Struthio camelus: one gene and its partners. The protein of the gene in region 3 interacts with the protein of the main gene of each other region in a biochemical or structural test. Links are inferred from orthologs where the notes say so. Each region holds a gene or a part of one and is shown on either strand. Other genes may lie near its edges. The genes, in order: SPI1, STAT6 and IRF4.

Region 1 (7,889 bases), on a different chromosome or scaffold from region 3:
GCATTGGTTGAGAGAGATACAGAGGATTCAACTGAATAACAACTTGAAAATTCCTATTGTTCACTTAAACTTTGTCAGATGATTCCAGGTGATTACAAATGCATTGAATTCTGATCTTTTTTTGTTATCCTGACATAACTATTCGTTGGCATGTGATTCAGAAATACTCCACACAGTTTCCAATGATGTGCTGCTGAGACAAGTTTGAAGGCCAAGATTAACCTATTTCCTTGGAAAAATTTACAGTATAACTATTTTAGAAAAGATGAGTATAAATATTAACATGAGCACTCATTGGGCCAGCCTCACAGGACCACCTTGGAGGTGCACTTATGTGAAACAGAATGCTTATAAGGTACATTTTCGCTCTCATACAAATATATCTCCATTCCAAGCTGAGTACTACAGGTGGCTACTTAGGGATTCACAGGTAACCTGGGGGCCTCTTTAGAGGAAGGTGTTTGCTTTATTAGTTTTCTGCCCAGTAGCACAACTGATACAAGATTCTATTATGTATTAAAAGACATGGGCTCAGTTTGCAGGACTTTTCCATATAAAGTTCTTAATCTTCAAAGAAAGATGCAATAACTCTTAAACCATTTGAGTGGCACTTTTCAAACGAAGGTTAAGAGTCTTCTAGCATAGTCAAGAGGAAGGCAGTTACCAATCCACCCTCAACTGAAAGGGGAGGGGCAGAGGAGGGAAGTAGTGCTTCACAGAAACCCTGTGTCTAGAAACGGGCTAATGTCGCCCCTCTGAAGAAAGTCCCAGGAGGCACAGACTTTTATAATGATGCCATGTGGGGCTGTAACTGTCAGTACTCAGATCAAGTACATTTAAAACAATTTTGGAAGTACAAAACACAAAGCTTTCATTTTTGAACATATTAATCACAAAAAAAACCCAAAACAAATTGCCCTGTCAAGCATTCCTATAAGATGTGATTTCATTTTCACTGCCTGTTACCTCATTCACCTGAGCAGAGTTCAGCCAGAATACTTTTCTACAACAAAAATTAGAATATGAGCCAGACTGTGTTGGATTTTCACTCCATTTATTCAATCTATGCGCTGAACTTCAAGAGTGAAGAAATGGGACACAGAGGGTGGCTATGAGGAAATGAGTAGACAGAAAATGAACATTATTAGTAAAAATAATGGGAGATGCTAGTGGAGGACAAGATTTTTTCTTGTTTTTTTAAGCCCAACAAATAACATATTCAGAAATCTTTATGTAATGTTTTCATTTTCTCAGTTTCTTTTCAAATTCTTATCCTGACATATTTACAGTAGATCCACTGGGTAACTTGAGTATTTAAGAAAACAAAAGAAGTTTCTTAGGGTCTTCTCACCCTGCGGGTGAATAAAGGATTTCGTGGCCATGAGCTGATGAACTGCTAGAGTAATGGATTTCACGCAAATAAGTATTTTTTTATTCAATGTGGATACAAAACATGAAAGGAATTCAAAGGGCCATCTTTCTGTATAGAAAATAAAGAAACGTGCCTTTAGCTTTCATTAGATGGGACAAGACAAAAAGAAAGCATGATACAAATTTGATTAGAGTACTCTTGGAGTTGCACTGTCTCTTACTCTCTTTTCCGAACACACATAGCAAATACCATATGTCATCTACCACGTAAAAGGCCAAGTAAAACACCTTCTCTGACCATCTTTTCAGCTACTACGGAATTAGCAAATCTTGTTAGGGCCTATTTTACCCGTTCTATCTTGAGATGTCCCATTACAGTTTGTTTCTGAACAGCTGGTTAGTGAGATTATATACTTCACAAATAATAATCCCCAAACTGACCACAATGTAAAAGTGTAAAAATGCTGCAGAGCTAAAGAAAGAACAGAAACACTGTATAAACATACAGAAAAATTTGTAACTAGGAGAAAATATCGAAAGACCCAATTAAGGGCCATTTTATTTTTGCTCTCGCCACTTCACTACTTGCCTGAAATAGGAAAGTTTTCAAGTGCATCCATATATGTTCAAAATGATTCAGGGTTATTTCCTGGCTTATATTTTAAATAAAAGTCACAAAATATGCAATGTAAAATATGAGCAAGAGAAGCTAGAGACTAGAATTCTATCATTACAAAGAGCACAAAGACCTGAAGTCTGCAAAATGTAAAAGCAGCATTCGGCAACTCTTCTCTCATAGATTGGTAGATATTTAATACATAAACTATGTCAGAGTCTCAAAACTAATTAATAATTACAACCTGAAGCAAGACTTGGCCTTATACTGCAAAGGCAATAAGGAAGAAAAAATTTTACTGGCTTGCTATACGTATACCCTACAAAAATACCATGAGTTTAATCTTTGAAAATAACTGGAGATCAAAATCAGATACAAGTTTAGGGAGGAAATGTTAATTCCCCATTCATTGCAACGTTGTCACTAGCTTTATATATTGCCAACTTCCTTGCTGTACAAATACAGACCAAAAGAGAGACATTCTCAAATAATAAAACCTAGTTTACTTTGTCTTTTGCTACTGAGCCCAATCATCCATATTAGGAATAAACCCCATATACTCACAGGGGGAATGAGGGGAAATCCTTCCATTTTGCAAGCTTGCAACATTCAGCCAACTTCTGAGTGAATTTTTCTTAATTCAGTTTTCAAACATCCAGAATAACTGACTTAAAAAATCACATGAAACAAACAAAAAAACACAACGAAAGTGAGATCCTTGGACTCTCTGAAGTCCCCTTGCAGTAATGGATCTCAGGATTGGAGAAAGACCCTAACAAGTTTTCATAGTTTGCCCTAATAGGCTCTGAGGTGAACTTCTTCCCGAGTTGTATCTGAAGTTCCTGATTTTATCAAATGTCTGTAGAAGGGAGATAGCCCTTGGGTCTATCAGTGCGCTGTGACATCACAGCTTTTAGCCGGTTTGCATAAATCTCATTTCAAGGAGCTGCGGCACTGTAACAGGAAGTCTGCCCTTAGCCAGATCTGCCATGGGCAGGTGCTTACTTATAATCAGCAACCCAGAGCCCAGGCCTACTACCAATAAGCAAGCATACGGGTACAGTGTTCTTACTGACTGTGGAAGACTATGTGCTTCCCACTGGAGATGAACCATAATGATGTCGCTGCTCTCGGGTTTAGTGATGTAGCATAGAGCTACAGTCCTGACAACTGCTGTGAGAATAATGCAGTGGCACAGACTTGCTTTAATGATAGTCTTATGCTGGAATGAAGTGGCAGAAGGGGAAATAATTAGCAGAAGGGGAAAAAAGAGTATACAGTCTCAACTATCATAGTCTTTGGTTTCTACAGAAAATTAAAGCTATGCCAGTGCGACTTTCTTTACAAACTTGTTTATAAAGTGAAATAGTTCAGTGAAAGTCACTGAGTCCTCTTATTTGCTTTTTATGATTTCTTTTCTAGGTCCTGCAAGGAGAAAGCAAGTGGGCAACAAGTCCTATGTCATGGCCTCTACTTATCCCAGAAGAGTGCCTTTAACAGTGAGTAGAGAACAGAGCTGTAGAAGTGTATCTGAAAAGTCAGATACTGAAATTTCTCTTTCTTCTGCTCTTCTTCTTATGTGGTGTTTTCCCATCTCTTTATCCTCCTGTTTTGCTTGCATTTGGCTGCACTGAACATGTGCCTTTCTTACGAATGGTTCTGGCAGAGGCATGAGTGAGTGGGCCACAGTGCAGGATTGAGGGGCTGGGCCCTTGCAACAAGGGAAGAACTCTCTCACTCTGCAAAATGCTTTCTTGCTTTGCAGTTAGTTACTAATATTTTGGAAAAGTGAAGTTTCTTTGTCTGGGTTGTTCCCCTTCAATCTATGCCCATGTGCCACAGGTTCTGCTTTTGAAAGTAGCCTGCTCACCACTCACCTGGGTCTATGTCTGAGGGGGAATTTCAGCCACTGCAAACTTCCTCCCTCATACACTGGTAAAACCAGAGGCCACTCACAAGTTCCTCTCATTCCCCACCCTAAGGAACCCTACAAGCAAACCGTATTAGCAATGGGATAAGATTGAGAACATGATGGGAGATTAACTCTTGAAGCCCCAGACTGAATTTCATCAGCATTAGTTGATCCATATGCATTTCAGTCCTATTTTACTGATACCAAAAATCTTCACGTTAACCTAGAAATGAATAAACTGCTAAACAGTCCAGTTTTGTCTCTGAGGTAATTCTCAAGTCTCTCTTTCGATGCCAGCCTAGCAGATACCAGGTTTACCTGGCGGAACAGGAGAGAAGCAAAATAAAGTATTGATGATAAAAATCAATAAAAACAGAGCAGAAAGGAATGAACAGTAACATAAATAAATCTTAAAATGGATAATTGGATAATAGATGATAAAAGTCATTGTGGCAATTGTACGTATATTAAAAATGCTATTCTGAACAGAGAAGACATCTGACTCTTAATACACTGAAATCTACCTTAAACAGCTACTGGAAGGCATAAAAATGTAGTGTGTTCCAGAGAGGGTCTTTTATTAAAGTGTAACATAACTATATTTAATACACTGGAGGATATTTCAATGCTGTCTCTTAGCACAGGAAATTACCTAATAAGGATACATACTTTGCACCAGCTTTACTGTACTTAGGGACCAACATTAATGACCAGGAGTAATCATAAACATACCAAGGTTATCAACATAAATAATCAAATTGATTCTCTATGTAATGAATTAGAAGAAAATAAGACATCATAAAGCTTGAGGAACAGCAGGAAGTCCAGAAGTTGAATTAGTTTCCTAGGAAGGAGAGTATCTCCATAAATGGAAATGCTAATAGTTAAATAAAATGCTTGTTTACAGTACTGTATCTGTATAGGAACATTACTAGTAACAATCTTGCTAAAATTCAACCTAGATTTAACTGGGTTTTTATCCCCTGTTTGTCATCATAGAATTTTCTCACCCTTAAAAGAATGCCTACTTTTGGCCCAGGTCCTTGCAGTGCTTTATTTGATGACTTACACATAGAACAACAACATATGAAATTACCAAATTAGTAGAGAGGTGCTTATCAGATACAGCTTTAATACATTCTTGAACTACAGAATCTAAAAGAATAGTTTCACTGTTGTCTATCAAAATGCCCATCAAAAATATCTGAGTGCATATAAATAATTACCAGACTTTTTATATATGTCTTTTTTAGCCTATCTCAAGTCATTTTTATCACTTTTTTTTTCCCCTCTCTTTATAACTTATGTCTGAAATTCCAGGGTCTCTGTTAATAATCTCTGTTATTTACCCAATACCTAGCAGTTCACAAACCAATCCAGTTCCTATCCTGAGATGCTGTAAGGTTTTACTTTAAAAATAATATTTTTTTAAAAATGGAAAAAACTCAAACATGTTAATGAAGGAGAGTGTTTATGCAAATACATTCATCACTTACTGTAGTGAGATGCTTCCAGATTTGTTTGTTGTAATTCTAAATGCTTACCTTTATTCTAAAACATTTTGGTATGTCTTCAGTGCGGGGGCAGATTAGAGAGGCAGATATTGATTTAATTAATTACAACAGGCGGAATAAAGTTGCCTGGAAAATAGTATCAGTGATGCTGATTCAGGCAATAAGAAGGTCTGGCAAAAAGCATAAAGGTATTTACTGGTGATGAATGCTGGCAGAGCAAGTAGAGGAAGAAATAAATGAGATGCAGGGATGAGAACTATGTAGAGCCTTGAGGATGAGGACCAGTAGTCTGAACTTGATGCCAAAGCAGAATGGGAGCCAGCAGAAATTCTCGGAAGGGAAGGTGGCAGAAGAAGATGAGTTTAACAATATTGTTTGGAATAAACAGGAGGAAAAAGTAATTCGACCCAAGATACATGAATTTCTAAGCTATACTCTGTATGATGTTGGTGCTCCTCACAGAGTGTAATCTGACCTTTAAAAAGGCTTTTAAAGTAGGCTAGGGATCCTTTTCCATGATGGGAATTTGGGGGACTGGAGAAAAACCTGCTCAGCTGAAAGATTAAATTTCTGAAAACATTTAACTTTCATAGGACGAGAGGCAACAGCCACAAACTGAAACACAGGAAGTTCCATCTGAATATGAGGAAAAATTTCTTTACTGTGAGGGTAACTGAGTGCTGGAACAGGCTGCTTAGAGAGGTTGTGGAGTCTCCTTCCCTGGAGATATTCAAAAGCTGTCTGGACACAATCCTGGGTAATATGTTCTAGGCGATCCTGCTTGAGTAGAGAGGTTGGACTACATGATCTCCAGAGGTCCCTTCCAACCTCAACCATTCTGTGATTCTGTGATTTTAATCTGAGTTATTCTCCCCCTAAACATCACCTCACTGTGTGCCTCAGATACTTCTGAAGGCAGTTTTTCCCCTACCTCTACCCATTTATTCTTCAAACTATTTCTAACCACAAGCTACCAAAGCAAAAGGTTTTCAACTCACAGCCACATCACAAAGAGGTCCCTTTACCTCAAACCTTGTTTGGTGCTCACAAGGTACTTTTTCTCCCTACTGAAACCACATAAAACATCACTCATCCTGAAGCCTCTTAATCAGAAACAGGTGTTTACACAGACTCTGCTACTGAGTTTGCTTGTAACAGGAAGATCAGACCTCTAAACAAGAGATCCCCTTATATCTTGCATATTCTTCCCAGAACTGTTACTGTTGAACTTGTTTTACCCAGAGATCGCATGGCTTGTGGGTCTTACGTGTCATCCTTCAACCTTAACATCCACTCAGATGCCATGTGGGGTTTGCGCTCTTCTCTTAAGAGCCTATGGATCTCTCTCACTGTGGAATCTGTGGAGTCAGGGGCAGTCTTCTGCATTTAACTTTGTTACATATACGACTACTGAGTTGGAAGATATGAGTTGAAATATCTTTGTTGCATATTTCCATAGTGAGAGAGTAGGAACTAGAAAGGAGCTGCTGCAAGCTACCAGCTGATAAGAATTTATTACAAATTGTTCTCATGTGGAGCTTTACTTTGGGATCTTTAACAGTCTGAATGTAGTCTCCACTTTAATATATACTCCCCTTTTCCATGTGACAGGTTATCACTCACTGATGTTTCTTTGTGAGACCTACAGGTTTTTAACTGTGACTACACTTGAACAAAGACTTTTTCTGGATATATGGGATCCCCTCTTAAGGTTGATGCAGTTTGTAGCAGCTAAAAAGTGCTTTTGACAGTCCACTTTGTGTGGTTCCCAAGTTTTATGCAACTGCATCTGTACAAGAACTTTAACTAGTGGGAAATGTCATAAAAATGTCATTAAAATATCTCAGTCTTACCTAATTTTACTGTATTGGCAAAGATTTCAAGTGTAGACTGGACTAAATCTATATCAGAATGAAGATTCATATTTTCTTTGGAAGGAAGAGGAATAACTTGGGACAGTACTAATTCAGAAAGCTTCATGGATTTTTTAGGAACCACATTATCAAAACCAGTCTCTTGCAGTAATGAAAAACACTTCATTTATCATTTTATTACTAAGTTTTAAACTGTTTGTAGAGCAGAATTAAGCAAGGAAGAAAATCTCCGTTTGGGCAATTCATACTGCTTCAAGATCTGCTTGTATAACAGCTATATTTGATTATTTTGCTGTATTTGGGAAGAGTTGTTTTGGCTTTAAGGCATGTCCAAATAGCTGTATGATTTGGTGTCAGTTTTTAGTGGTCTTCTGCATTCTGCAGACAATGTAGAAGAATGCTCTTATGCCATCTACTCTTGAAATCTACATCCCAGTCAGTAGCGTCACTAAGATGCAAGCAGTAGTATCTAACAGCGCTTCACATAGTTGTACCTTGAACCTACAGTCTAGTCTCTCATTTCTATTTAAATTCATCTGTCAATTAACTTGAAGTTCTTCCCCAAAGTCAGATGCTTTAATAGTCAGAATTAAACTATAAGG
Region 2 (7,060 bases), on a different chromosome or scaffold from region 3:
GATTCACACCTCTCCTCACCTTCCCAGCGGCCATAACCCCGACACAGGTCTCACGTGCAAGAGAGAAAACTCCATTTCCCAACCCAAAGCCCCACGCTTCCGCCTCCATGGACGGATCACAGAAGCAGGAGGACATCTGCAGACGTGGGGGAGAGGAGGGTCCAGTAGCCCCTGGGCCCCGGGCTGGTGACTCCTGGCCCGGGGGCAGCACCGCCCGGCCCCAAGGACTTTCGCAAGCGCCTCTCGACCTCGGAAGCGCTGTGCTGGTCACGCGCACACAAAAGCTGAGATTTCACAAATGCTCCACCGCGATCCGGCAGCGAGCGGCCAGCCCCAGCACAGCACGTTATCCCCCCTGCAAAGCCAGCCCCGACCTCGGCGGCGGCAGGAGCGAGACGAGGAAGCTGCTGACCCTGCAGTTAAGGCGAGCGACAGGGACAGGAGGCAGCAGGGGCAGCCGGTGAAGGCCGAGGTGTTTTGGAGGCCCAGAACCAAACCGAGGCCGCTTCTCACCTCCTACCCGCTCCCCCTGCAACGCTTCCAGACGGCCTTACGAAACGGCGCAGAGCTCTCCCTCCTCGCCCCGCCGGGACGCTCCGTCCTCCCCTGCCCACCTCCGCCCGCGAGGAACGGGAGCGCCAACGCCAGCAAGAAGCTCTCCGTCCTCGGGGCCTTGGAGGAGGGGTCTGCACCAGGACGGAGAGAAGGGGGAGCTTTATTATTCGGAGCGATGCAGAGATAGAGGTAAAACAAGCACAACTCTGCCCTCTGGCAGAGCAGCCCTCTAGCAGCCCTCCATTGGCCAGGTAGAGCCAGCGCTAGACACCCCACGACCCGCCAAGGCCACCGCCATCCTGCAAAGGCCAGCTCGACCACCAGGACCAGGAGCTCTCCCAGAGCAGAGGAGCATGGGACAGGGTCATCACTTCTCACGTCAAACCATACCCCGTCCCAAGCCAGCAGAGATGCCAGCAGAACGCTGACCCCATCTAACCAGAGGGAGAAAGACCCAGAGCTTCCCCAGCGGGTTAGGTGCTGTTCAGTCTTCCAGCTTCCCAGAGACACGGTTTCTCCATAGCCACGTTGCAGCTGATCCTGCCTCCGGGAAAACAGCGCTTGCAGCTAACCTGGGAGCCCCTCAGAGGGGCTTTCCAAAGATGGGCCCCAGGAAGGTCCCCTCTGCGTACCCTGGCCCTATGTGGCCAACCTCACCTCGAAGCTGCTGGTCTCGTCACCCAGTCCCCCGCAGGGAAACGCAAGAGGGCTACGCTTTTGAATTCAAGCCTGAGAGCATCACGTAGCAGAGAGTTCCTCAGGTCGAGCTCTTTTATGTCATTTTTTTCCCTTTAATTTGTCTCTGCTCGTCAGCTTTAAGCCTCTTGTTTCTATGACCAGAGACTGCCTCTCCCTCCTGCCCCAGGAGGTTTGCAGGGACAAGGTGGCACACAACTGCCATTGCCTTTTCAGAAGCTCTGCAAGAGTTGATGGCTCTAGCGACCTGCTGGGGACAAATCTCTCCAGCTGCAGAGGTCCCTAGGACCTCTTAGGTGCATTCACAGCTGCTGGTCTGCAGGATGGCCATCTCACATGCTCACTCATGATGAGAGGTTGCTCCTACCTGGAAAGTGCCCTGCCAGCTGAGACACTGCTGGGACGGGGAAGGAGGAGTCACCCCATCCCTGCCCTGCAGCTAGCCTAACAACCAGATCCGGGTCCCTTGAGACACTCCCCCATCAGACTAATGTTCCTCGTTAAGTGAAAAAGCATCTGTGTTTCTCTTCCCAACCCCTCTCTCTGCCAGGTTCCTGGGGAGTGAGTCACTCTTGCAAAGCTAAATCTAGACAGTTTGGCTTCTCCACACATCCACACCTTGCCAATCACGCAAGACTGCAAGGCTCATCCTACTCCGGCAGCAAGATCCAGAAATACAAAAGCTGTCCAAGCTTGAAATAGCCCCTCACAAGAGCACTCCTACTCTCCTGCCCCTGACAACACTCAAGACACCCAACGCCTCTTGTGCCATCCCCAGCCAAAGAAGGGAGCTGGGTCTGGCAGGCAGGGCTGCAAACTGGGCACAACCTGCAGGCACGCCAGGCAGGCCACCCTGGCAGCGCAACTCCGCACTGCTGGAGCGCCAGGTGCTGGTGGTTCCCGACGGGCTGCCGTGCTTTAACACCTCCATCCCCTTCAAGCCAGCAGTCACCCTTCGTGTCCAAGCAGTGCCTGCGGAGGTTGCAGGCCCAGCTGTAGCGGATGCTGCAGAGACACGCGATGACGCAATCCCATGCTCAAAGTGGGGGAAGAAAACCGGTCTCACCCAGTGAATCCTCCACGTATCTCCATCCAGCACCAACAGGAAGCAGCGTCATCCCTCACCTCCAGCTCTGGACCCCGCACGTAGAAAAGCCAGGCCTGCCCCCGCTCCCGTAGTGAGGGGACAAACCACTGCTGCTCCCAAAAGCAGAGCCAGCCAGCACTCAGCAGCTGCAAATCAAGTACGGGCTGGTGGCAAAGAGGAACCAATTAAGGTGAAAGTCTAGTCCGTTCCCCTCCAGGAAGGGGAGGCTTTGGGCACCAAGGCCTTTGAGGAACAAGGAAAGACTTGGGTGGTTTTACTCTTCAGAAGCACCAAGAGCTGGGAGAGTGCGAACAGCCTCCTGCAGAGCAGAGAGCTCCCAGGTGCACCCCCTAGGCCCACTGCAGAGCGAGGGTCTCGCCATGCGCAGGATGCCGGGGCACCCTCCCCGTCCTGCCCCCGCGACCCGGGGCCCCGGCGGCAGCACCTGCTTCCTTCCACCAGCAGCCCCCAAGCTGCGCCGCCGCTCCACCTCTGCTGAGCCCAGCTCGGCTCAGGCCCTGTGCGGATGCACTCGGGGAAGCGGGCGGGCGCGCGCATGCATGCACACGCACGTGCAACACGCACTGCCCTCGTACACATGAGATGGGCCAGGCCACCAAGGCAGCGAGAGGAAAGCAACAGGCTGGATCACCCCTGCCGCCCCTAAACATGAGGGTTTCCAAACCGGCAGTGGAGCAATCCCCCCCTGCCCGCACCGCCTCTCCCCAGCATGGTTCACTGTGCAACGGGGCCCAGGGAGGTTTGACGCCCCGGCAAGCGGGAAGAGGAGCCCTGCAGAGACAGGAGCCGTGGACCAGTGCCCTTTGTCCCCCTGGAGAAGCTCTTCCACCCACCCCATCTGCTGGACTTTGTCTCCTATCTCTTCTACCACCAAAGCCAGAGAGGGATTAACAGCTTCCAGCACCGTGCACCAAGGGAGCAGGCTCGGGGGGCAGGCGCAGGACCGCTCTCTGCCTAAGGAAGGAGCATCCTTTCCACGGAGCAGGGCAGGACCCCCGCGCCCACCCCCAGCTCTGCCCCGGGCTGTCCGCGCCGCGCCGTCCCTGCGACTCGATTCCCCCCGCAGGGCCCACCGCGGCGGGCACGCTCCTGCCCGCGGCGCACCCCTGCTCCGGCGGACGCCGCGGGGCCGCCCGGCCTCCGAGACCAGCTCCGTGCCTTATTCAGCAGCGGCCCCTCCGGAAGCAGCGGGGCTCCCCAGAACCCCCTTTGCAACCTCCCAGGTGAACCCCACCCGGCACCCCGCTCCTGCCGCCAGGCCACGCGAAGGGTTTCTGGGGTGGGCACACCCCAAGGGGGAGATGCTCCCGCGCGGGGAGGCGCGCAGCCAGCCGCTCGGCAGGAAGGGGGTGCTTCCCGCGCCGGTTCCCGTGGCTCCCCGGCCGGGTGGGCAGCGGGGCAGAGGAGCTCCGCGTCGCCGTCGCCCGTTTCCACAGGCAACACCGCTTATGCGATGACTGATGCCTGCCCCTCCCGCCCCCGCCAGCTCCCGAATTCAGCGGCTTCAAACCGCAGCCCAGCGAAGGGGAAGGCGTCTGGGGGACGCGGGGGCCAGGCGAGCTCAGCGGGAGCAGCCGGACCCCGCCGGGCCCTCGGTGCCGGCGCTGCACGTGCCGCCTCCCGCCACCTCCGCCCTTCGGACCGAGCACCCAGAGCGAGGGACGGGAACGGAGGCTGCAGCCTCCTGCAGCACCGGCCGCTAATCGGGGGCAGGAGAGTTAATTTGGGGCCGGGGTGTTATCGAGCCTTCGCCCGCCTGGCCTCGCCACGGGCCGGCGCTGCTCCTGCCTCTGCCGCACCACCAAATAACCACAGCTTCGCCCGGCTCCCTCCAAGCGGGGGACCGGAAGGGACAGAAGAGCCTTCCCCAAAAAATCCCCTCACCAATCAACCGCTCCAGACCCGCCTGCCTTCATCAGGCGCTTCTGCACAGCGGGGACCCATAGAAGGGAAACGTCGCAAGCGAGCCCGGGAACAGCCCCCGTTTCTGTGCTTTTGAAGGGAAAAAGCAACCTTCTGCCCCACGCATTCAAACGCCGCGAGGAACTCCTTCACCGCTAGCTGCATTTGTTGCGCTGCCAGCTCCTCGGCGCGCTCGCGCTGCCAGCGACGGCCCCTCGCGCGCGCAAAGGCACCAGCCACCGAGCTGACGAGCTCGCAAAACTATTTACTGAATAGATCAATAAGAGCAGGGCCTGGACGTGCGCGGCGCAGGGAAAAGCAGCTCGGCCGGGCTGTCCGGCCGCTCGGTAAACACTTCGCGGGTGCCACCGGCGCGGCCCCGGCCCCGGCCCCGGCCCCGCGCCCGGCAGAGCCGCTTTCGCGCAGCGCCGCGTTATGCAAGAGGCGGCCGGGGGCGCCGGGTCCGCGCGGCCTCTCGGCCCGGCGGCAGCGCCGGCCGCGACGGCGAGTCACAACTTTCCTGCTCGGCTACCGGGGGCGGGGGGGGGGGAGGGACCGTTTGATTCCAGGGGAGGAGAACGAAGCGTTATTGCAGCTAATGGAGAGGAACGGGAAATTATCTGCCAGGGATATATTTGGGGGGGGGGGAGGATTTTGCTTTATTTGCTGAAAATCTGGGAAAAGTTCGCCGAGGGAGGAGGAGCTCGTCCCCGTCCGCGCCCCCCCCCACCCCGCGGGGCTCCGCGCACGGCGGGGGGGCACGAGGCGGCTCGGCGCCCCCCGCCCCGAGCGCTGCCGCCGCCGCCCGGCCCGGCCCCCCCCCGCGGCAGCCCCGACGGGCGCGGCGAGCCCCGCGCCGGGCGGCCCGGCGGGGCGCGGACTCACCGTCGAGGGCGCGGGCGGCGGGCGCGGCGAGCAGGGCCAGCAGCAGGCAGGCGGCGAGGGGCAGCGGCGGCCCCATGCCGGCGGTGCGGCGGCGGCGGCTCCTCACGCCGTGGTGCCCGCGGGGCGGCGCGTCCCGGGCCCGCGCACCGACATCCGCGGAGGGCGGGGAGGGGAGGGAGCGGAGGGCCGGGCCGGGCCGGGGCGGGCGGCGAGCGAGGCCCCTCCGCCTCGCGGCCCTGGGCGGCGGCGGCGGCGGCGGCGCCCTCGGGACGGGACGGGGCGGCCGCGGGGGCGGGGGGCTGCGCGCGCCGCCGCCGCGGGATGGAGCGCGCCGCCGCCCGCTGACGTCACCGGGCCCGGGCCGCCGCGCGGGGGGCGGGGGGCGTCGCGCGCCGACGGGGTGGGGGGGGGTCGTGCGCGGCGCCCGCGCGGTGCGCATGCGCGTGCGGTGCGGGGGCTGCGGGGCCCCCCCTCCCGCTAGCCCGCGGGAGGGGCTGAGGATGGGGATGGGGGTGGAGATGGGGCGAGGGGAATGGGAATGGGGATAGGGGATGGGGATAGGAATGGGGTGAGGAGATGAGGATGGGGATAGGGGATGGGAATGGGGATAGAGGATGGAGAATGGGGTGAGGGGATGGGGTGAGGGGATAAGGATGCAAATGGGAATAGGGATGGGGATGGGGATAGGGGATAGGAATGGGGTGAGGGGATGGGTGGGGATAGGGGATGGGGATGGGAATAGGAACGGGGCAAGGGGTGAGGATGGGGATAGAGGATGGGGATAGGGGATGGGGAATGGGGTGAAAGGATGGGGATGGGGGATGGAGATGGGGCGAGAGGATGGGGATGGGGAATGGGGATAGGGGATGGGGAATGGGGTGAGGGGATGGGGTGAGGGGATAAGGATGCAAATGGGAATAGCAATGGGGATGGGGATAGGGGAAAGGAATGGGGTGAGGGGATGGGGAATGGGAATGGGGGTGGGGAATGGGGGTGGGGATGCAATGGGAACGGGGATGGGGGATGGGGAATGGGGGTAGGAGCAGGGGCACGGATGGGAATGAGAATGAGGATGGGGATGGGAATGGGGAAAGGGGATGGGGCAGGGATGGGGACAGGGAATGGGGAGGGGAAATGGGATGGGGATGGGGCAGGGAATAGGGATGGGGATAGGGGATGGGAATGTGCGATGGGCATAGGGCAGGGATGGGGATAGGGGCAGGGGGCTGGGGCAAGCATGCCGCAAGCCCCTGTCCCCCCGCAGGCAGGAGGTGCCCCGGGGGAACGCGCGGGGCCAGGGCACCCGGCCAGGGCACCCTGCTCCCTCCGAGCTGCGATCCCCGGGTTTGGGGCTGCCGCCGGTCGGGGGGAGCAGCATGGGGGGCGCTCACCCCTTGGCACGGCCGGAGGCGGCTCTCCCCAGAGACCCCTTCCCCTGCAGGGAACGTGACCCTCCGTCGCCGCAAGCTGCGGCGCCGGCCGGGGCGAGCCGGGGCCGCGCTGCCGACGGCTGCAGCGCTGGGAAGGGCCCCGGGGAGCCGGCTGGCGGAGGGGGCAGCTGCAGGCCGGGGGGTCCCCACCTCCGGGCGAGCACCACGGCTGGGGAGCCCGTCCCAGGAGCGCGCCGGCGGCTCTGCCATCGCAGCGGGCCCCGGGCCATCGTGCAGCTGCCGCGTCACCCGGCCGTGCGGCAGCGCGGGGACAGTGGGGCGCGCGGGGCAGCCGCAGCGCTGCAGCCGCACGGCGCCGGGCCCCTGGGCCGGGACCTGCCTGCGCCCCCTTCCCCGAGTGACATCACACGCCGTCCCCCCCACCCCGTCCCGGCCAGGCGGCAGGGCTGCCAGGGCGCGGGGGGGTCGGCCCCAGGGCAGAGCGCCCGGCTGCCTCGCGGCCGCCTGCCAGATGTTCGGGAGG
Region 3 (6,959 bases):
ATTTTTTTTTGCTTGTCCCTTGAACTGCTTGCTTAACATGGGCCTCTCTCTACAGAGAACTGGAAGGCAGATGCCAGGTAAAAGAGCAATTCCTGCAGCAACGAACAAGAAGCACATCTCTGTCTTTTACAAAGGGCTCCCTTTCAGTGCTCTGACTCAAATGCCGACAGTCCTCCCACAGACAGAGCCTCTTATTTTAGTCATCAGAAGAAGATGTACTTGAGCCCTGCACTTCAGCTCCTTGTATTCACCGCAACACTAACACACTTAAAAAGACTGCATGGCCATTCCAGAAAAGCATACTTCAGTCCTCATATGCTTACAGTGAGACAGATATTCACACTCCATTACACAGGGAATCTGAGACATTTTACCTTTTTTAGCTCCTTCTGGCACTATTCTGTACACTTTATAGGGATCTGAGATGTCCAGCTGGCTTCTCTCCACCAGTTCTTCAAAGTCATTGCTCTTGTTCAAAGCACACCTTAATCTTGTCTTCCAGGTAGGGGGATCTGGTTTATCAATGCCCTCTCTGAACTTTCCTTTAAAAAGAGCCCAAGCCTGGAAACATTTCAGATAATCAAAAGAGCAAGGGGAAAAAAAAAAAAAAAAAAGAATCAAACTACAAGGTACAAGATCACAATGCCTGAAATAGCATATATGTGTGTGCTTATATGCGCATGAATTTACTCCCTGCAGGTTTAGGCTAAGAAAAAAGCAGCATTAGGAACACGGTAAGGAACATGGTAAGGAAAAACAGGTTTGGAGGCACAAGAAAAGGGAAAAAATGATCCAGAGTCAATATGGAAACAGATGTGCAGCAGTCCCACGAGCATTTAGCTCCACATGAGGGAATGGGGAAAGGAAGGGCAGTCTCACGCTGCAAACCTAGACCGGGGCGAGGGGCGCTGGGGGCAGCGAGTCCCTGAGTGGAGTGAGCCTGCCGGCATGGAAGAGACGGGACGGCGAGGAGCCACGACGGTGGCCCAGCCGCTACACCCCTGCAGCCCCGACGCTGGGCTGAGCCCTACCTTGAAGAGGGCAGCATCCTCCTCACGGTTGTAGTCCTGCTTGCCAGCGTGCTTCCAGGGGATGCGGAAGATGCTCTTCTCGTCATTTTCCCACACCAGCCCCGGGTACTTGCCGCTGTCAATCTGGTCGATCAACCACTGGCGGAGTTTCCCGTTGCCGCAGCTCACTGAGTTCATCCCGCACTCGCCCGGCTCCAAGTTCATGCCACTCGCGTTGGGGGTCGGGATGGGGGGTTTTGGGGTGCTTCACTTGAGCCCGCTTCTCTGCAACGTGCCCACGCACTGGCTCTCTGGGGGCTGCAGGGGAGGGGGGAAGAGGGGTAGGATGCAGAGAGAGGAAAACCCACAGTTCAGGCGCCGGTCAGAGACCCCACACGGAGCCCTGCCAGCGGTGCTGGTGCTCAGTGCTGCATGCACCGCGCTAAGCGGGGCTGCGGCACGCAGGGGGCCCGGGAAGCACAGTAGCGCTGCAGCGCAGAGCCCCGGGAGGCTGCGCACGGCCCCTCACATCCCTCCCCAGGCACCGCTCAGGCTGCAGACTTTGACAGACTTTCCTCCCCCTCTCGACACTGTTTTGCATGAACACAAGCCAGTTGTTGAAATTTTCATCACAGAGTGACTAAAGACACAACCCCCCTGACCTGCTCTGAGTTCAGCCGGGATTTTATTCTTCTAACCAAAAAGATAAAAAAATTGTATTTAAATATAGTTCCACATGACAGTGCACATATGCACTAGCAGATACATGCACACAGTTTAGACAGCCTCAGACACATTTATGATTTATATGGTACCTAACTATAATGTTGAAGCAGCTTTTTCAAGCTCATTTAAGCAAGACACATTCGAACACATGATGTCCTATACATATCTACGTCTCCGACTGCTCCCAACACACATGTATAATAACATTCAAATCTATATATTGCAAATACCTAAAAGTGGAAATACACCAACCTATGGAGCCTGCCACAAGAACACTTTGCCCAGAGGCGGGCCAGTTTGCAGCCAGCTACACCCAGAGCCCTTGCTAAGCGCAGAGGTGTGCGCACTCGCCCGGAGCGGCGAGGCTCCACAGAGTGATGGGCGCCCACTGGAAAGGTCCTAACATGAGCAAACCAACACCAGTGATGGTAGACCTGGAGTAAAGTTTGTCCTCCCGACCTGAGAAAGTGCTTGTACGCCCAAAAGCTGCGGGGGAGGGAGGGGTAGGGGGTCCAACTATATCTAATAAAAAAGTGAGTCCTCACCCACAGTCCTTGCCTCCACACTCAGGGAGACTGTCAGAGCCCCTGGTTAGCCGTGAGCACGCTGGTGCGGGCAGCTCCGCACCCCTCACTCCCCTCCTCAGGGCGCAGCTCCCACCACCGCAGCCAACCTGGTCGCCGAGTTTCTCCCCAGGGCAAGACGTGCCCGGGGGGGGGGGGGGGCGGCTCCCCCAAGCCCGTGCCAGGCCCCCACCACATCCTCACCCCCGGCATGCACACCCTGAAACGGTCCCCCGTCCCCGTCCGGGGAGCTGTGACAAGCTTTCCGCGACCCTCTGCAGCGCAGGGACGGCGCGGCCCCTCGGGGCGCCGGGGAGGGGAGGGGGGGCCGGCCGGGGCGCCGCTTCACCCCGCCGCTGCCCCGGCGAGGGGCAAACGAGGCGGGGGATTTTAATTATTTTTTGTAATTAGCCAAAAAAAAGGAAAAAAGAAAAAAAAAAATCACCATCTCCAGGAAAAGACCACCGCGAGGGGAAGCGAGGTGACCACCCCCCCCCCTCCCCAAGCCCCTCTCTCCCCCGGCCCCAGCCCGCCGGGCCCCGCCGCGGGGCTGCCCTCGAGGAGGGGGGGTGGGGGGGCGGCGCGGTGGGGCGCGGAGCGGGGCGCCCCGGCGGGGCCGGCGGCAGCCAAAGCCGCCGCTTACCTGTGTCGCGGCGCTCGGAGCGGGCTGGGGCCGCCGGCTCCCGGGCGGGCAGCGGACACGGGCGCACCTCGACTGGGCCGCCGGGCACGGGGGAAGTTTCTTTATATGATGGAGGGCTGCGGGCCCGGGCGGGGAGGGGGGTGGAGGGGGGGTGGGAGGCGGGACCCGGCTCGGAGGTGGAGCCGGCGGAGGGGAGCGGGGACTTTGCGAGCTGGAAAACATCTGAGGCAGTGACACATGCCCATTGCTGGTAAACACGCCGTGGGGGGGGGGGGGGGGGCTCGGAGCCCGGCGCCCTCGGTGCATCCGCGCTTTTTTTTTTAAATATATACAAATATATATATATATATATATATACACACACAGACACACAGGTATATAAATAGCATGGGGAAACTCCTACCTATGGTAGCCAGACGGCTTTTACTGTAAAATACTCAGCCAGCTACACCCACCACAAACGCACTAGACGGCGCCGGCCGGGCCCCCGGGTAGCACCCACCCGTCCCGCGAGTGGGGCCGCCCGGCCCCGACCCCCCCCACCCCGCTTCCCCGCCCCGGGGGCGCCTCCGGCCGCCAAAGCCGCCTTTTCCCGCTCCGCCGGACGGCCAGCCCCGACGGCATCCGAGCCGGGCTGACGGACTCCCCCGGCGAGCCTACCCCGTGGTCTGCAGCCCCCAAAAATGTCACGAACCCACCGGGCCCCATCCGGCAGCGAGCCCGGCCCGTCGCCAGCCCCGGCCGCCCTGGGGGCCGGCGGCGACCCCGCCCGGGGGCAGAGGCGCCTCTCCGCTGGGAAAGCCCGTGTTAAACATCAGCGCATCAACTTGGACGTGGGGCACCCGGCACAAGGGAGCGCTGGGGGCGTTAATAACTTGCTTTCTTGGCAGAGTCTCCTGTGCTAACGAAGCGGGAGCTGGCGGGGGAGGGGGGGGAGAGGAAGAGCAAGGTGCGGACTTGCGTGAAAATCTTCCTTGCCGCCTTTCAGGTTTCAAACACGTGTTTCATGCCACGACACTTTCTTGTTGTTGTTCTGTTTTAACGTTTCCAACACACATCCACATCCTTTCTGCGCTAACGTATCAGATCAAAAACCAGTCATCGCGCACTGTTCTGGCAGGCCGCCGGTGCGGAGGGTACATGCAGAGTTTAGAATATTAATTGCAAATCTTCAACGCCATCTTCTGAAATTTAGATGTAATTATCACCACATTTTGAGGGGGAAGTGAGAGGTACAGGCATTTTTAGATATTTAGTTTGTAACACACGCTATCGTCTAGAAAAAGAGTTGGCAGTGCCTGTCGGATTTTTTTTCAGTCACTAGTTAAAGTACCTTTAACATTAAAACACGTCTTGGACATTGGAGGTGACTGCCATCATAAATCAAGACAGGAGCAACCATAGCTTTAGCCATAGGCATCAGAAACGTTTTCCAGAAATTCAAGGTATGATTCCTAGAAGCCAGAATGGGTGGTACGCAGGGCTCCAACTGCAATTTCTTTAAGTATAAAAATGTATCCAGAAGTATTACCATAAAAAGAACACATCTAATGCCTTCTCTCTTTTGCAAATTTTAAGACAGGGAATTCTGTACCAGTGTGAAACATGCAGATTTGATCTACACTAGAGCACATCCTTCAGGATAAAATTAACAGCTTTCTCAAATTCTGGAGAATATTTTGAAAAAATAATTCCACTTGTCCAATGAATTCCACATACCGTTAGAGAGGTAAATAAGTTATAAATTCAGAAATCTTTAAGGGAAGACAAAGTCAGTCAGAATCCTTAAAAAAAAAAGACAATACATGTACGGGGAGTTATCTAGTTGACTGGTTTGTTGCTGTCTCTGTGCAAAAAGAACTCAATAGAAAACTATTTCCAGTTGCCTAAATTTTTAGAGTGGATGCTTAAAGCTAGACTCCTGCATGCATAATAAGTTTTACAAATAAGTCTTTTCATGAGTAAGACAGGCTAAGTCTCATTAGCTTTACCGGTTTCATTACTCAGGGTTTCTGGCACCAGCCATGTCCATTTAGATGGTGAAAAAAATTAGGACCATCATTTTCAGTGTGCAAAGTAGAAAACTGATCAGTAACGCAACTGTGTTATCTGCATTAAATGTTGCAGTATTGCACTGGTAAACTTTCACAGTGTGCTTTTTGCATACGGTAAGAACCTATTACTCCCTAAATGGTCCAGCTCATAATCTGAACGCTTACGGCACTTCACAATCTGTTCTTCTTTTCTAGCAATTTCCACACTGTTGTAAGTGCCTAACCCAACCTGTCAAACCTTACCCAAAAGCCCCATTTGTCTTCATGGAAGTTTTCTGTGTTAATACCTGAATTTAAGTCCCCTTGTGAAAACACTCTTGCTGCTGCTTAACCACTGCATTCACCACTAGGCCCTCTGTTTTTCACACTCTTAAGGTCACACTGACTAAAGGCATGCCAGGAAAAATGACTGTTTCTTCTCAACAGCCGCTCACAAACGTTCAAGGCAGAGAAAGCTGGGTTCTGCTTTCACCAAAAACCTCTGAAGTTCCAGCTGACTCGCATGGGAATTGCACCCAAGGCAGAAAAACAACAAAGACGAAAGCTCAGACTAGCTACTGGGAGCTGTGTGAAGGCACGTGTATTAGCCAGTCTTGCACTCGGGAGTTTATTCCTCGCAGTTAAAAAAAAATCCTTCTGAAAGACTGCCCTACACTTTCGCTGGGTGCGGGAGCAGAGCTACCCACTATAACAGTGGAGCTTGCCTACATCCCAGAAGAGGTGCAGGGCAAAAACAGTTCTGAAGGCAGAGAAGCTGATGGAAACATGCCAGAGGCAAGGTGCGGCATAACAGAGGCCCTCCGAGGGCTGCCGCTCACTCAGGGCTCCCCGCCATGCTGGAGGCCATGAAATCCCCTCAGCACCCGTGCAGGGGGAGTTCCTCGCGCAGAAGAGGAACCTGTCCAGGGCGACCGCGGGGCGGGAGCGGAGCTCACCTGCTCGCTGTTCCCATCTTTGCTAAGTCGGCTTCACCGGTTGTGCAGGACATCCACCCGCAGCTCTGGCAGGAAGGTGCATGGTACAGCAGGTCCTGGAGACAGGTAAAGGTCGAGCCTGCCTTGCACTAGGTGCAGTCCAAGCAGCAAGCGGAGCACTGCGTGCCTGCAGAGCTCGCAGCCACAGCAAACCCACAGGTCACAAGGCAAGCGAGCGTCTGCATCAGCAGTCAGGCTCTAGCCTTAGGTGAAGACAACAGGCACCTGACCATGGCTTTCAGCCCAAAAGGTCAAACTTCTTTTTTCCCCACGTGGATGCTCAAGTCCCTGAACATACTCTGACCAACCTGGTACAACTTTCCCTTTGCCCCTGGAAGCAGAAGGAGACACAAACCTCTCCCCTGCTTTATTGCCCAGCAGCCAGTTCACCAAACTGGGAACAAAATGCAGCTGTGCAGAGACTGGGTATCAGGGGCCTGCAGGAGCCTGGCGAAGGTTGTTCTGAAACCCTTGACAAATGACTTGGGCAAAATGCATTTTCGGAAGTGAATTAAGCTGCTAACGATGGTTTTGAAAAGCTCATAGCTGCCTGTCTGCATCTTCAAGTATTCCCAAACCTCCTTCCTGAGATGGAGATCTCTGAAGGGCTTAGTAATTTGTTACCGGCACCAATTTCCATTGGGTGCCTTCTTCCCTTAGAAATCCTCCAAAATCCCTGATCATCAATCTGTGAGATGATGCCTTCAACTGCCCAAAGCAGCAGCAAACCTCAGACCTAAAGTAACAGCACTATTAAAGTTGCACAACCCCATGCTCAAAGTCGCAAATCTGGGACGCAGGGCTGAGGAAACAAATCACTAAACAGCCAGCCTTACGCTGCAGAAAGACCTCCATGGCTGGTATCAATAGAATTCAGAGGTACACTGGAAATCTGGGGACAGACTACTGATTACTTTGGTTTACACCAGAAAAGCACATGCTGTTTAACCAGGTCCGACGCTAGTCTTAACAGCCAGATTTTAATCTTC

Evidence for each region.
Region 1: the proteins of IRF4 (region 3) and SPI1 are reported together in a solved structure, tested with the Homo sapiens proteins (2 studies listed by BioGRID, with this or other methods). The link is inferred for Struthio camelus from reciprocal best matches to the Homo sapiens genes IRF4 and SPI1.
Region 2: the proteins of IRF4 (region 3) and STAT6 form a complex in vitro, tested with the Homo sapiens proteins (2 studies listed by BioGRID). The link is inferred for Struthio camelus from reciprocal best matches to the Homo sapiens genes IRF4 and STAT6.

Annotation. Positions count from the first base shown.
Region 1 is NC_090946.1:39,184,415-39,192,303, reverse strand, and holds the start of SPI1 (transcription factor PU.1), read right to left. Parts: upstream 2,977-7,889; 5' UTR 2,597-2,976; coding exon 2,552-2,596; intron 1-2,551. UniProt on the Homo sapiens protein: Pioneer transcription factor, which controls hematopoietic cell fate by decompacting stem cell heterochromatin and allowing other transcription factors to enter otherwise inaccessible genomic sites.
Region 2 is NC_090969.1:283,653-290,712, forward strand, and holds the start of STAT6 (signal transducer and activator of transcription 6), read left to right. Parts: upstream 1-4,006; 5' UTR 4,007-4,608; intron 4,609-5,146; coding exon of another isoform or gene 5,147-5,222; exon of another isoform or gene 5,223-5,297; intron 5,298-7,060. Other genes in the region: LRP1 (prolow-density lipoprotein receptor-related protein 1), read right to left, coding at 5,147-5,222. UniProt on the Homo sapiens protein: Carries out a dual function: signal transduction and activation of transcription. Involved in IL4/interleukin-4- and IL3/interleukin-3-mediated signaling.
Region 3 is NC_090943.1:104,797,645-104,804,603, reverse strand, and holds the start of IRF4 (interferon regulatory factor 4), read right to left. Parts: upstream 3,063-6,959; 5' UTR 2,943-3,062; intron 1,329-2,942; 5' UTR 1,236-1,328; coding exon 1,032-1,235; intron 562-1,031; coding exon 375-561; intron 1-374. UniProt on the Homo sapiens protein: Transcriptional activator. Binds to the interferon-stimulated response element (ISRE) of the MHC class I promoter. Binds the immunoglobulin lambda light chain enhancer, together with PU.1.